3 linked regions of the Schizosaccharomyces pombe genome follow. The protein of the gene in region 3 purifies or fractionates together with the protein of the main gene of each other region. This does not show direct contact. Each region holds a gene or a part of one and is shown on either strand. Other genes may lie near its edges. The genes, in order: sum3, prp19 and dsk1.

Region 1 (5,330 bases), on a different chromosome or scaffold from region 3:
TTAACAATGTTTAGAGCAAGAGCTTCATTCGTTTTGTTGGTACTTTGGATCTTCGGTTGTTCCCTATGGTTTTTTTCTTTTATCGCATTCCCAGTGCGCAAGGACTTGTGAAAAATTTTCGCACCTTCAATTGTACATATTTATATCCCTTGTAAATGCGTCTCTTTTTGTTCTCGGTTAGCTTGCTTGTTTTACAAACCTGTTTCCTAACTTGTCTTTTCTACATTTGTTTTCGGTTTTTCTTTAAAAAAAAAAAAAGAGAAGGACTACTTGCTTTTCATCAATTTTTTATATTATATAAAAACATAAAGAAAAACGAAGAAAAATTGCAATTTTTTGATGAAATTGTGCTGTGATCTGTTTCCTTAATTTTTGTTCTCTTTAATCTCAACAATCTATTGAATACTAAGTTTAAGTATGGTTGTTTATTCTTTTAATCCTAGTCATGGTTACTCATTAATATTCGTTTTTCAATTAATTGAAAAGTTACTTATTTAATTGAGAACGTAAAAACATAATCATCAAGCATTTTTCTTCAACATTTACTTAAGTTACCCTTGACATTGTCCTCACTTATTAATATGTATGTCGTCAAAGCATATAGGTCCAAGTGGTTCACCATTTATTTCTAATTTTTTATTTAATTATTTCTTTTGATTGTGACTACTGCGACACAATAAATAAACAATTGTCTAGTCCAACTAGACCCTTAAATACTTTCTGTATCAGTGATCATTGTAGCTGCGTTACTTAATCTTTCGTATATATTTCTAGTATTTCTGACTGTACATATCACTAATTACATTCCTTAATTTTACTAATAACTAATTTGCCTAATAACATGTGTATAGTTTATTATTGCAATAAAATTTATTAATTTGCTCTAGCGCGCATCCTATTATTACAAATTGCAGAATCGTAAACCTTTTCCTAAAGAAATATTACCCAAGAACCACAATCCAACAAAAGAGAGACACTAACCTATTTCCAAGTTCTCTCGAAAAAAAGAAACACAGACTCGTAAAAAAAGATCCATCATTGATTTTTAAAATCATGAGCTCAAAGCCTGTAGAAATTTTCAACATATCAATAGATATATATAAAATATGTATAATATATGTCATTTTGTATGCCCGTCGTATTCGTACATCCATTTCGTCAATGCAAATGTTTCAAATATGCATATTCTATTTAAAAAGTCCCGTGAATAAATCATGCACGCATTGACTTCTGAAACTTTCGCCTCATCTTATTATGCAATAAAACACAACACCGCATACTAAATTTTGCCGGATCGTTTTTACATAACGCTTCCACAACCGCAACGATTAAAAAGCACACCCAATGAGCATCCGTCCAAGCCCAGCTTAAAAATGAAAAAAACCGGACCTAAACAAAAGACGTTTCGTGCAACTCACTCAATCACAGTTAATTAAAGCCAAATATTTCGCCCTTTCTGACATCCTCGCGCTTTGCAAATGTCAGCAAAACAATGGACACAATACTTCGGCCTCTGACTAAAGGAAATCATCAGAAGCCTGTGCATAACACAGATGCACGTAACCCAATAAAAATATTTTTTTAGGAAATTTACCACCAGGATTGAGCACTACCACTGTTGTAAGTGTTACCATGATGAGGAGTACGGCTTTCAAAGCCACCGTATCCAGAGTAGCTAGGGCCAGAGCTATAACCACTACTACTATTAGTAGGGCGACGGAAGTCGCGAGCACCATAAGCATTGCCTCCACGACCACCACGACCACTGTAACGGCCACCACGTCCATTACCACCAAAGCTGCTTTCACGAGCCATGGCGATCAAAAAGCTGGGGCACTCTTGATTGGCCTCTTGCAACAACTCAATCAATTCCTTAGCGATACCCTTGTTGTTACGGTTGAAAAACGCAACAGCTTGACCAGTGTTACCAGCACGACCGGTACGACCAATTCTATGCACATAGTCATCAATGTCAGTAGGTAAATCGTAGTTAATAACATGCGTGACATTGGGAATATCTAAACCACGACTGGCGACGGCAGTAGCGACCATAATGGAAGTACGGCCAGAGCGGAACAATTCCAAAGCGCGCTCACGCTCACGTTGGGTACGGTCACCGTGAATGCTTGTTGCGGGGAAGTTGCTATTCAACAAATAGTCGGTAAGTGTGTCAGCCATGCGTTTAGTCTCTACAAAGATCAAGGTAAGACCCTCAGGAGGTAAGGTGTGAAGAATATCAAGCAAGTAACTACGCTTTTCAGAATCTTCAACGTGTACGACCTTTTGAGTAATATTCTCCGAAGTGGAACCGACACGACCAACACTCAAGAAGACATAATCCTTTAAAAAGTCACGAGCTAAAAGTTGGATATCACGGGGGAAAGTGGCAGAAAACATGAGAGTTTGACGTTCTTCAACGCTTGTCATGTCAGCACCTTCCACAATGTGACGAATTTGAGGCTCGAAACCCATATCCAGCATACGATCAGCTTCATCCAACACCAAAAACTTAATGTTGGCCAAAGAAATACGACCACGATCGATTAAATCAACCAAACGACCAGGAGTAGCAGAAAGCAAGTCGCAACCTTGGTCAATTTGGCGGATTTGAGCACGAATATCGGCACCACCGTAAACAGCACAGGGACGCACCCAAGAACGGTAACAGAATTTACGAGATTCCTCATGAATTTGACAAACTAATTCACGAGTGGGAGCCAAAATAAGGGTGGTAGGATAGGCTTTGCGAGGACGATAACCCATACCGGCATCCTGATCAACAGGAACAGCGGCAGGTCCTTTATCGAAAGCAAGAGAAAGAATAGGGAATAAGAAACCAGCAGTCTTACCGGAACCGGTTTGGGCACAGGCCATCAAATCACGTCCGGATGTGACAATAGGAATGGAGTTCTTTTGAACTGGGGTGGGCTGAGTGTAGCCAGAGAGTTTAATGTTTTGAAGAAGATGAGAGTTCAAAGGAGGAGAAGTGAACTCATTAACAGGCTCGATATCTCCACCGGAAACTTCAACAGGGATGTCATCATACTTTTCGAAGTTAATACCAGTTGAAACTTTGGTACCATCAGCAACGGCACCAAATAATTGACGCTCCAAAAGAGTGTTACGGGCTCCGATAACGTGTTGACCATCTCTCCATTGGCCAAATCCACGGTTGTTACGATAACCACCGCCGTTGCTGTAACCACCTTCACGACCGCCACGGTAATTATTTTGGCGGCCCTCGCCACCACCATAATGACCGCCACGATTGTATTCACGGCGACCTCCATAGTTAGAGGAAAACTCACTAGGAGTTTGAGACCTAGAAGAGCCACGAGATGAGACAGACTCATCGTCGCCAACAGCTGGAGCTGCGCCAGCGCTTGGCTTATCCCTAGCAAAAGGAGGAATATACTTCCTAGGTCTGCTGATGTTTGTTTTTTGCAATTTTTCAGTCACAGAACCAACTGAATCTACTTGTTGCTGTACATTGTCGCTCATAATATTTTTTGTATTTCTGAGTTGAAGTGTTTGGTTGAGGTTAGGTTAAGTTGGCCATTAAATGCTACCAAATACACGATGGGACTGCCCTTTTTAACCCCTCAGCAAATTAGATATGTCAACGAAAACAATTTTTAACAAGGATAAAAAGTCATTTAAACAATTTAAAATTATTTTTTAGTTAATTTTGATACCAATATGTATGGGTATTAATAGTTTTTTTGAAACCTTAAGTCAGTACACGTGCTATCATCTGACTACGTTAAAGAATAAAAATTAATTGAAAGGTTTTACTATATAAATATATTTATAATCTATATAACTAAACATTTAGGCACCGTAATGTAGGTACACGATTGCCACTCACCAAAACTAAAAACCACCGTTATGCTCGTCTCTAAATAGCAGACTTAGTATACATATTAATCATTTTAATTGGAATAAGAAAATTCAACTTTCAAATTTACAATTATTAGCATACAGTTTGCTTTCTGTTTAAGGTCGTAGTGATATTCAGGAGTACCAGCCATGGTTTTGCTGTCTTCCCATACCAACCAATACTACAAAATATAGAAATTGATATTTTTATTGTGCCTTGCAACTTAAGAAATTGCTAAAACCTTTAGGCAGAAGCTTTGTAAGCGGTGCTGTGCATTAAAACCGTATTTATTCGACAAATCCGAACATATTTATCTATATTGAAGAAGTCCAAAGAAAATCACATTTGTTAAGATTATTAGATACGACATAATTAAAAGCGTTTTTCAAAATGATTGTCCTTAATGCTCTGTCGTACTTGGGTATCGTTTTGGGATTCATAGGCATGACCGTGAGTATCGCATCAGCTTTGTATTACATTTCAGAGTTTGTAGAAGAGCACTCTAGGCTCGCAAAGGCGTTTTTATGTCGGTTGGTTTATTTTATTATGGCGGTAATGGTGTTTTTGGTTATATTTGATGGTTTTCCTTTTTGGCTCTCGGCATTCTCCATTTTCAGTCATTACATTTATAAAATCAACTTTGATACCTTTCCTTTCTTCTCATTTAAGAGAATGAGATTTTTGCTAGCATGTTTCCTTATTGTCGCGAATCATATCTTATGGGTCCGCTTTTTCCAGGTGCATGAATTCCCTATTAAACCTCGTGGACTCACTTACGATTTTGTTGGTCAACGCCTTTTGACCTCTCGTGCTTCCTTTTCACAAGTTGCTTCATTTATGGGGGTATGCGTATGGTCTGTTCCTATTGGTATTTTTGTTTCCTTTACCGCTGCTGACAATACACTTCCTACCATTACAACCCCGTCTTCCTCGTCCCCTGATGCTTATTCTTCTGGATCATCTCGTCGGACGTCGAATGTACTTCGACAAGCTTATAAAAAGTTAGGTATCTTCGTCGAACGTAGTCTTACCTCTTTGGGGTTGAGTGATCGTTCAAGTGAACGTTACGTCTGAGTTGAGTTTGAGGGATGCTTGTCTTTTTAAATTAAGGATTCGTTTAACTTTACTGTAATGTCTGTACTTCTTATGTGATCATTTACTCACAACATGTTGCATCTCTTTTTTTTTTCGACTTTTATTTTGTATATAGTTTTCTTCATACTTTCTTCATCAACACTTTAACTTTTTCTCGGTCAGTTTGAGCGAACAAAATTATCCTTCTTTTACGTTTTGTCGTTGTTCTTTAGGATTGCCTATTGTTATTTTTTTCAACATGGAAATTGTATTGTCAATTTGACTTAAATTTCATCTCGGACGTGTAGAAAATGCATTTAAAGGAAATAGATGACGCCTTTTCATATTCATATGAAACGGAGTTTTTTACGTCTTG
Region 2 (5,007 bases), on a different chromosome or scaffold from region 3:
AAAGCTAGTATGTCTTCAGACAGTTTCCAACGGCAGCTAGTTCAGCGAACTAATACTTTAAATTCGTCTATTGACAATGCTACACTAACTATTTTGTCAAGGTTTCAAGACATACTGGATATTGCTATAAATGAAGGCAAAGATAAATATACGGTAGCACCAGAGGTTTACCAGATTGAATGCCATACTGTGTCCATGGTTCGCGCGGTAGAACAGTTACTGGATGTTTCTCGACAAATTAAATCATATTGGCTCACTAATTCTCTTTCCACGTCTTTTCCGACTGTCGATTACAGCGAGCCTGATCTTGAGAAAGTTAAAAGAACTCTTACTAAACTACAAAATCATTTACTGGAAGTCAGTTTAATTGAACCAGAAGCATCAGAAACAACTGAGGCTCCCACTGTTTCTGACACTTGAGTTAACTCACATAAATTATTTTTTGCCAATTAAACCAAATGTCAAAATTTAATGATACATCTATCTGAAAAATAATAGTTTGCCTAAATATTTCATTATGAAGGAAATCACTTAAGTTAAAGAGCCAAAATCTTACTAAATACGAAAAGCCTAATGGAGGAGCACATAATTAAAGGATTAAAAATTGGGTTAACCCAACCGGAGAATGGCTCCATTTGAAGTACTAAACAACAACTGGTGTAACTCATTTAACCAAACCAAATTAGAAATAGAGGAAACATGGGTTTGACTCATACATCTCCAAGACTTTGAAGATTTGACATAAATATGTACATAGAGAGTCTCCCCATCCGAACTTACCAAAAGTTGACTAGTAATATCTAATGACACTGCTGCGACTTTGGTTTGTAGGGGTATTTTTTGAACAAGCTCAGATTTTCTTAAGTCCCAAATGAAAATGTCAGAGTCATCATTAGTTGTTACTACAAGCCAATAACCGTTTTCACCAAATTGTAATGTTTTAACTGGACTTGAATGTGGTCCAAATTTTGTAAGCTCATTTCCCGAGGAAGTCTCAAAAAAGCGTAACTCGCCATTCTCTAACCCAGCGACAAAGAGGTTACCGTCCGGATGTACAGCAAGAGATGTAATGTGTTGAGCAACGGTGATATTATAAACCTGGGATTTCAGGGAGAAAATATAACACTTTTCGTTTGATGCTGCTAATAAATATTCCCCACTTGGATGAGCTTGAAGGAAGTTCACCTTTTCGTCTATAGGAATGGACGAAGTAGGTTCACCCACACTTTGTAAACCAGATGAGGAAACAGGAAATTCAAAAATTGAAATGGCATCAGCAGTAGCGACAGCAATCTTGGAAGAAGTCAACCAACAACACGCTAAAGCTGATCCTTCAAAAATTTTGAGAGTACTGTTGGATTGGATATCTAGACATAAAAGTTCATCCTTATGAAGACATAATACAAAAGAAGAATTTTCAGGGGACGGGAAGAAAGACGTAGTGCTTTCTGTTTCCAAATTTTCTAAGATAGTAGAAGGAGTAGCTTGCAAGAGCTGACTCACAGCATCGTCAGTCGCCCATTTAGGTTGTAACTTTGTACGTTTCCTTTTGGAAGAAAGTTCTTGAAATGTTTTTTCCACCGTAGAGCGTAAGCTAGTTTTAAGCTGGTCATCACTTTCGCCCATCTCTACCTCTTGTACTTCAATAGTTTTCGAGGAAACAGTGCCTATGTTATCGGAAAATTTCGCCAATGCTTCTCTAGCTTCGTCTCTTTCTTTGGTAAGCCGAGATATAACTCTTAACGCAGCATCTAGCGAATACAATGCCGTTGATAACTCCTGCTTCGTCTCTGTAAGATTTCTTCTAAGTTCAAATTGCTCAAGCGCGACAGAATCCCATTCTTCTTGAAAGAGAGACAGCAATGCAGGCAATGAAGTGGCAGAAGGAGGTCGAGGTCTAACAAAATCAGGTACTGTTTAAAGGTTAGCAATTATCTTCGATTTGATTCGCTTTATATGTGAATGGTCAGTACAATCAAAATATAGTAAATATAAATCGCATTGGAGAGCAAAAACCAAAAAAAATCTAAAGTATTAATACATTTTCCTCAACAACTCCACATTAATTTTGATAAAGATTTGTTTTGATAAATCCGACAAGGTTGTTCTATAATTCTCTAAAAACCTTCCTAATTTCTGCCCCGAGATATTGACATGCACTAAATAGTCCACTTTTTAAGGAGAAATATAAAGCTGTAAAATTAAAAAATTTCGAGTACAAATCAATCATGCAATAAAATACATTATCAACAAAAAAAAGAAAATAAACGAGTTCTTCAACCAATATTGCAGGGTTTTACTTTCCAAACCAATTTCAGAATATTCAGTACTCCACGTATAAAAAAATAAGTGCTACTTGAAATTCTTAACCATTCAATAATAAAGAAGGAAATCTTACCCTTTACAGGAACCAAGTCCTCCAACGTGCATTCCTGTTGAGTAACAGGGTCTTTAGACGTTTCACGAATAACTTGTTCAATCAAGCGCTTCTCGTAAACATTTCCTACATTCAGTCAGACAGGGAAATTATTGTACAAACATACCACTTACACGAGAAATCACCGGTTCTTTTGGCGTTTCTCCACTGATTGAGCAAAACATTCGGCACACGTTGGTTTCTGTGTGTAATAGCTAGAGGAAAGCAATGCATAGCCAACTAATCGTTTACTGCACTATACCAATATCCGTATATAATATAAGGCAAATGCGATGCATTTTGCAAATAATTTTCTAGTTAGTAGTGCAAATGTACGTACAAGGCATAGTAGGGTTTCAGTACCTCTCGTCTTCATAAATCTACTGGACCATTACGAGACTGGATAGAATTGGAGATAATTTACTTAAAATCACTACAGATTCCCATAAATTGTCCCTCTCTTCTAGCTACTCACGAACTGTTGCATCATGGATAATACATCTCTACTAACCCGTGGAGGTGAGATTTACAGCAGGAAGAAAGGGAAGAAGCAAAGATTGGAGGAGATCGTCTTTGATAAAGAGAAGCGAAAGTATGGATATCATAAAGGGATTGCTACTAACTTGTTACAGAGAGTATTTAACTGGATTTCATAAACGCAAAGTTGAACGACGAAAGCATGCTCAAGTTCAATTGGAGCAGCAAAAACGCGAAGAACGTTTAGCGTTGAGGAAATCTGTAAGTTTTTCTAATACTATCTTGAGTATATCACTAACACTATTCAGCTCAGAGAACAGCGCAAAAGAGAACTGGCTGAGCGATTAGCATTCTCTAAAGAGTTGAATAGCTCGCTAGAAAATGATGAAGAATCTTCACAGCAAGAAGATTCCTCATCTAAATCTGACAGCGAGGAAGAGTCATCAATGGAGCCTAAAACTACTGAGTATGACGAAGATGATAAGCATGTTACGGTAGAAATTGTAGAGGACGATGATGATGAAGAAATTGCTTATCCTAAAGAAGGTTTTGTCACGCCTCGTATTTCTCCTCCACCAGATGTTCCTTTGCGTCCCCACAAGCCTAAAAATGCCGCCAAAAAGAAATTTCGGTATGAGAGCAAATTTGAACGTACACAGGACAGAAGAAAAGAAAAAATACGTCGTTTAAAGAAGAAAATAAGACGTTAAATTAGGAACTTCAAGCACACGTTGTTTGACGCATCTTGCCCTTTTTTTATATTTATGAATATGGTTGGTATAAAATGATATTTGAATTCAATTGTCCATTCGTTTTTCAGGTTGAGAATTTTTGGAAGTTAACAAACTACTTTACAAGAGATCATTACATATACGGAGTTTTTCTTGGTCTGATATATGCATTTCAGCCTTTTTCAATTTTTTGTTCACAGTTTTGATTAAGGTGTTTGTACATGCGCAAAAAATTTGTACTCAATAAGCGGTAAGCTAGATTTTAGCACGATTTATATTTTTTTATTATGTTTAAAACCCGTAAATTTTAGAGATACTCTACATTTATATATTCCTTTGGATTTTAGTATATTAGCGAAATTCACTAGAATACCGAGTTTGATCTTTGTCAGAACACAAACCACGTCTGGTAATGTGGTAAACAAAAAAATATTAAAAAGAAGACTGCAACAGCTTTTATTTCATTAGCGTTGATCATGTTCTCAATAATAACATGTCTTCTTCAATAAACGGATTAAATGAGAGTGAAGGGTCAACGCCTTTAAGCACTGCATCTATCATTGGCTCAAGTGAGCAATTGTACATGACTCATGATGAACGATACCTAGACGTCCTTCAACAATACGAAGTTGAGACTGAAAATAAGCGTGACTTTGATTTGGAAGAAGAACAATGGGGCGTTCTTAGTGGCTCTTGTGTGGATGGAACTTACTGGAGTGCAGAAGAAAAAGAACTGTTTTTTCAAGCGGTTGCTCGAAATGGGAAAAGAGATTTAGATTTGATAGCTTACTCCATTCCTTCTAAAAGCGCTGTGCAGATCGAGCGTTACATAAATGCCTTAGAGAATGAGCTACGTTGGCTTCGTAATCACGTAGACGCATCCGTGCGCAGTCAATGTTTGTTGAAATATGAAGATATACCTATTGCAATGGAAATGAGTCAGAATTGGATTGATTGGGAAGAAAAAATTGCGGAAAGACTTCTTGAGGGTTCGAATATCTCAGGGGTTGAAACTTCACACTATAATGCGCAAAGTGTCAAAAACAAAACCTCAAATGAGGATTTATTTGATACAAATGAGATGAGAAAGATTTCTGAACGGTTTTATCATTTCGATCGACAAGCGCCTTTTCCAAGCAATCCACTTTCTGCTGGCGCTACGGAGTTTTTATTACAAATCATTAAAAGCAAGTTGAAGGAATTAATCGGAACATCTATATTTTTGGCGGAGTCTAGGTTTAGGAAACTAGAGGCTAACAATGCCTTTCATAGAAAACCTATTATCAAGAATAGAGACGTTGTTCTGTCAGGCAAATTTTTACGATTTCACCGATTCAATATACCCGGATTTTGGAAGTATTTACCCACTAGACAAAAGATGAA
Region 3 (5,733 bases):
ATAAGAATATGCAAAATGATAGAATTATTAGGAAAATATGAATTTATTAGATGTTTAATGTTTTCTTATGATAGCTCAATTTGACGAAATGTCTGTTTCATTAGACAAAAAAAAATGCAAAAAATATTTTAATTAACAGACAAATTGGCGTGAAGGTCATAGCGTCTCTATTCCTTACTTAAATAACTAATTTACTAAAATCATGTTGTAGTGTAGGAGTTCGCTACTTTCAGAAATTAAACGACGAACACTCCGAAGGTTAAACAATCATTTTATTTTAGAAATGAGTAATTTCATAACTCTTTTACAATAGCACGCAGGACTGTCATAATTTACAAATTCAATAACTGCGAACATTTCCATGATAATTTCGAGCTGCAATTGCTGAATTAAAATTATTTTATTTTAATTGATTTACAGTATACAACATGATAAAATGCGTTACTTAAAAGGAATCGCTTAACTTCAGCATACTTGCACCTTGCAGGTAAAGCCAGGCCTTCACAAACCCAGCACCATTTTAGCTGCTAAAATGGCAGAAAATGAGAATCATGTACTTTCAATACGAATGTCACACCCATACTATTCAGAAAAAGAAATAAGTCGAATTTTGTCGACGCGAGATCCCAAAGAAAATAATTTGCGAATGCAGGCGTTCGCTTGGATATCAACACTTTCAAAAACTTTAAAATTGTATGCTTTTCCTCAAAATTATCTAGAATCTAACTTTTTTTTAGCCCTGTAAGGACCAGCGGCCTTGCAATGCTTTTATACAGTCGTTTCCAACTATTTTTTCCCGTGAATGAAATTCCTTTGCTGGTATGTTATTTGGATGTCTTTCGCACATGAGTATGCTGTGCTATTTGAAATTTTACGTATTCTGATATAAGAATATTCTGAATGCTGTACATTGGTCATACTATTAAAAAAGACTACAGTTTTTAATAATGTTAGCTCAGCTACTCCAAGTTATAAACATCATATTCTCTTGATTTAGGCTCTTTTTCTTTCAAAAATAACTAACACATTTAGGAGTGCGCTACTGCTTGCTTAGTAGTTGCTAGTAAAATCGAAGATACGGCCAAAAAGTTTCGTGATATTCTTTTAGCACATTATCTTCAAAAGCATCCAGGTTCTGAGGTCGATGCTCATTCACAAGTATGTTACAAGGTGCGCAATAATTGTTTTTTGTTTATAAGGAGACTTGCTTACAGGTGTATTAGCTAATCGAAGAGAACAAGAAGAGGATTCTAGGTTTAGAAAGAATGACACTGGAATTGATTTGTTTCGATTTTCGAGTCCGACATCCACACAATTACATGGTAAAATTTGCAAAATCACTGAAATGTATGACTGCTATTCATTTTACCTTATAATTTTCGAGTTAACTAATTTACTTTCAGTTTCATCTTCCACGGCAAGTATAGCTTGGAATGTCTGCACTGATGCTTATAAAACATACACAATGTTAAAATATCCAGCCCATATTGTTGCCGTCGCATCGATTTCTATTGCTTGCAAGTTACAGCAACTTCCTCAACCTATAATTCCCAGATCGTTCTTCGCTCCACCAGCACTAACGGAAGCAGTGATTGCGGATATACTCGATCTATATATGCATTATCAGCCTCACACTTGCATTGGTAATATGTATACAACGGAAAAATTACTTGGATTATGTGTTGACTTCCAACGAGCCCAAAAAAACTCTGGCCGTCCTCAAAAACCACCCCAAATTGACCCTCATTCTTCTTCTTTAGCAGATGAATACCGTGAGTCAAATAAGAGACTTCAAGAATCCAAAGAAAGTTGTGCCAGATTTATTTTAGACTGCGATAGAAAGTATTTTAATACCGAATTTGAAAAACGAATGCTGGAAGAAAGGAGAAATAAAGGTACGGTTTAATCTAATGGTTCCTTAATGAGTTATCTTACCATCGGTTTGTTCCTTCTTTCGACAGCATTCTGAACAGTATATTAATATGTGACATTACAAGTTACCAATTTCCAATTAACTTCCTTTTGAATGACAAAACTTTATTTTATGCGTTTTCTAAACATAATATGATTTAAAAAGCAGCTGACCTAAACCCTGCTATATCTTAAATATTCATTAAGTAAAAGGAAATTTCGTTCAAATTTCAGTGCAGTAAATGTTGATCAAAAGAAGGAATCGTGATAATCATACGTAACCCATTTCAGAGTGAAAGGTGTCATGCTTTTTTAAAGCAATCACGCTAATGGTGGGAAATTAAAAAAGGGACGATATCGCAAAAAAAAACTATATATAAAAAAAAATCATTTACTAGCGCTTCAAAACCAATATCAAGGTAAACACTAACGAATTTCAGTAGCCCATCCGGGTACATCTTCACCGGTTGCTCCAGTAGTCTCGATTTTGAACGTAGGATCAGCCACTTCGCGCAACCATGGAGAATTGCTCATGTAACCAGCATTGGTTCGCTTGGCAGGATCAAAACATAACATAGGAGATAAAAAGTCTGATATTTGTTGAGCCAACTCGGCTGAAAAATGGTATTTTTGCTCCAAAACATCTTTTAAAGGCCAAAACTTCAATTTATGAATATTTCGGAGTTCACCGCGACGGTTAAATAAATCGCGGGAGTGCTTTCCTGAAAGTGCCATTTGCTTAGGATAATTAACCAATAACTCAATAATTTGGGCAATGTGGTCATCCTCCTTAGAATAAGAATTCCCATTCCGTGGATCGAAAAGGTAATCGCCGGTTAGCAATTCAAAAATGATACAGGCAAAACTCCAGCAATCAGCGGAAGCTCCCCAGCGACATCCTAGAATTACTTCTGGAGACCTATACTGACGGGTTTGCACATCGTTGGTGAAATGCTTCCGTGTCCAGCACGCGTTACCGAGATCGGCAATTTTAACAGTGATTTTTGGAACGGGTTCCTGAGAACCGTTAACACCATCAAGTATAAGAGAATTATCTCCACTAGAAAACGGAGAATTAGGATGAGAATTATGCTTTTGAGAGTCACGAAGGCTGATTTCTGAAACAGCACCTTCTAATGAAGGAAAGCGGCTCAAAGTGGAAGTAAAAGGACTGCTAGGAATGACCTGGCCAGCAGGCTTAGAATTCTTAGTTGGATTTTTTGCAAATGTCTTGCGTTCTTGGGCAGAGTTATCTACAGATTGGCCACGTTTAATAATTGGAGCTTTGGCTGTATAACCAGTGTTATTTCTTGTTTTTGAAGAAGAGGTATTAGAAGTGGGGGAGGAAGTTGTTGCAGGTGCCTCAATATGTTGCAAGGCATCCTGATCAATGCATATTAAAACATTTTCGGGTTTAAGATCAGTATGAATGATCCCGCATTCTCGATGCAAGTAATCCAGAGCGATGAGTAATTGGTAGGCAATTTGCTTTACAATACCCACAGGTACTCCTCGATGGCCGTATGACTGTATCAAACTTAAAAGATTCTCACCGAGAACTTCGAATACCATACAGACATGAGCTCCATTAGGACCACGATGCACAAAATAATCGAGCAAAGAAATGATATGCTTTTTGCCCAAATGCTTTTCGTCCCCTTCTCTAATTTTCTGCAAAATGCGAATTTCATCAATTGAGGTCTCTCGATAGTGCTCTGCTGAACGCACCACCTTCAAAGCTACTCTCCGTTTGGCAGCTCGATCATATGCAAGCCAAACCGTTGAAAAATGTCCCCAGCCTAATTTTCTTTCAACGACATATCGACGGTGATGAAATTCTTCACCAATGTAGACTGGGTGGTATCCACCATAGTGATAGTCCTCTGCATTTTCTTCGTGCGTTTTTACCTTTTCCACCATGCTTTTTCCGTCTACTTCAGCATTGACCTTTTTATTAACATTTTTTCCATTCGTGATCACCTTTTCACTGACATGGTCAACTATTTCAGTGTGTCCCGGTTGTGACACTTTCGGTGACAAACTCGACCCGTCACTTCCCATTTCAAAATGGCTGGCTGCCCCGTATGAAGAAACTACTGATATGTCCCTCCAGCTCTTAAATTAAAATATCTGAGATATGTGAATACACCAATTCCTTCGTTGTTGTTGTTGTTTGTTCTGGTTATAAATACGGTATGGAGTAGTATTTTTAGTGCGAAAATCAACACGGGGAAACACCGTGGAGTCTTAGCACACTACCGAGGAAACTTTGCGCATTAGGAAGAGCGTTTCGATATAGTAAATAACAAAAAATGGGAAAATGGTTTACTAATTATTTTACGCCAGTAGGAGAAGCCACCTTTACACTCCGTTACTGTACCATAAATATTTTAATAATACTACTTAAAAATCCGTATATATGAATACCAATGACTAAGGCATCACTAAAAATATCAGCAGTTGATAGAATATGAACCCCCTGCGCTTTCATCCCATCGCTATCCCTTACTAACTACTTTTACCGAAGTAGCCCAGCCGTTAGAATTCCATAAGATGTGTTAAGGTCTTCCAAATTTATATCGTTATCCATTATAACTGTATCCCATTCAGCTCTTAGATCTCGACAGGATAGCTAGAAAAAATGTAAACAATTCTTGAGTCGTTGAAAAGAGGGATATTTAAGATCTGTTTTCTCTCTCAACATACGGCGTTCTTAAAATGAAAATTCTCAGATAATGTTCTAGCTTTACGGCATTCACACCTACGGCCCGAGATCTACTACCTACTCACACTAACCGTGATTCTACGGGCAAGACCTGGACTCGAAAACATTCAATTACATTGATAAAAACGGGATATAATAAATTGACAAGTATGGCCTGTGCTAACAGTTATTTTTGTTGAGGTCTTAGCAATGTATTATGGTAAACGGAAATCATATGTAAGGTTCATAACCAACCAATAAATATAAATGTCTATTTGAAAGGTACTTTTTTTGTGATGATCAGAAACATAAAGGAAACGGAGATCAACAAAAGTAATCATTGAGGATGATGAATTATTAAAGAAGTCACAAAAAGACAAAAGAAAGAGGCAGCGGGTAATAGAGATCATTTAAAACAAAGTCCATCGTTTCTAAATATCTAAACGGCAGCAAACTGGTTAAATTAACGAAAATAACAATAACAACAAGTAAATGCTGAGGCCATTAACCCAAGGCAACAAACCGCGGGCATGGTTTCTGAATAAAAAAGATGAATATAACAGAAATAAGAAAAACAAAAACTGGAAAAGAGAGGGTCAAGCAAATCAACTAAAAAGCGGACTTCTATGACGAATTAATCCTTTAGACAGTGCTTGCTCATTTGTCGTAATTTCGGCCCATATAAAAACAACATAAAAGGAACTGGAATAAGCCCAACTGCAACAAATCCGACCAGAGAACCAGCCCAACCAATTCCCAAATTATTGAACATTTGGGTTGTAAAAAGAGGAAATGCCGCGCCAAACGAACTTCTAAGTAATGTATTGGCCGCGATTGCAGAAGCAGAACATCCACTATAACAATCAATGATATAATTGATTGTTTGTTGAAAAATTGTAATGATTCCAAAGCCAATAAAACTACCTGCCAAAGTTGGAACAATCCAATGAATCCATGGATAATTACCAGTCCAAGCAAGCCAAAAGATGCCAATGGGAAAGACAATGCAACCGATCATCATGGAGGGAAGTCGTGCTTCAGGAACAGGTCTTCCTTTATTTTCATCCATCTTTTTAAAATAGTAGGGCTGGAACAGGGCAACGCTAGAGCATCCAATA

The links.
Region 1: the proteins of dsk1 (region 3) and sum3 purify together in Schizosaccharomyces pombe (affinity purification with mass spectrometry, with the first as the bait; one study listed by BioGRID). This does not show direct contact.
Region 2: the proteins of dsk1 (region 3) and prp19 purify together in Schizosaccharomyces pombe (affinity purification with mass spectrometry; 2 studies listed by BioGRID). This does not show direct contact.

What each region holds. Positions count from the first base shown.
Region 1 is NC_003421.2:973,171-978,500, forward strand, and holds sum3 (translation initiation RNA helicase Sum3), read right to left. Parts: upstream 3,544-5,330; 5' UTR 3,502-3,543; coding exon 1,591-3,501; 3' UTR 829-1,590; downstream 1-828. Other genes in the region: protein SVP26, read left to right, coding at 4,271-4,954. UniProt on the Schizosaccharomyces pombe protein: ATP-binding RNA helicase involved in translation initiation. Remodels RNA in response to ADP and ATP concentrations by facilitating disruption, but also formation of RNA duplexes. Inactivation of ded1 blocks mitotic cell cycle progression at G1 and G2/M.
Region 2 is NC_003424.3:5,130,836-5,135,842, reverse strand, and holds prp19 (Prp19 complex subunit, ubiquitin-protein ligase E4 Prp19), read right to left. Parts: upstream 2,621-5,007; 5' UTR 2,602-2,620; coding exon 2,544-2,601; exon of another isoform or gene 2,504-2,543; coding exon 2,399-2,503; intron 2,060-2,398; exon of another isoform or gene 1,914-2,059; coding exon 610-1,913; 3' UTR 501-609; downstream 1-500. Other genes in the region: srb6 (mediator complex subunit Med22), read left to right, coding at 10-420; rRNA exonuclease Rrp17, read left to right, coding at 2,905-3,008, 3,049-3,154, 3,202-3,603; RNA polymerase I upstream activation factor complex subunit Rrn5, read left to right, coding at 4,118-5,007. UniProt on the Schizosaccharomyces pombe protein: Probable ubiquitin-protein ligase involved in pre-mRNA splicing. May also function in DNA repair.
Region 3 is NC_003423.3:823,842-829,574, forward strand, and holds dsk1 (SR protein-specific kinase Dsk1), read right to left. Parts: upstream 4,092-5,733; 5' UTR 3,973-4,091; coding exon 2,338-3,972; 3' UTR 1,907-2,337; coding exon of another isoform or gene 1,404-1,906; 3' UTR 1,348-1,403; coding exon of another isoform or gene 1,224-1,347; 3' UTR 1,159-1,223; coding exon of another isoform or gene 1,033-1,158; 3' UTR 964-1,032; downstream 1-963. Other genes in the region: lsc1 (Lsk1 associated cyclin), read left to right, coding at 533-693, 738-819, 1,033-1,158, 1,224-1,347, 1,404-1,906; SPOM_SPBC530.15C (spermidine family transporter), read right to left, coding at 5,250-5,733. UniProt on the Schizosaccharomyces pombe protein: May play an important role in mitotic control by altering cellular location, degree of phosphorylation and kinase activity. Abundant expression accelerates the exit when cells are in M-phase and also delays the entry into mitosis when cells are in G2.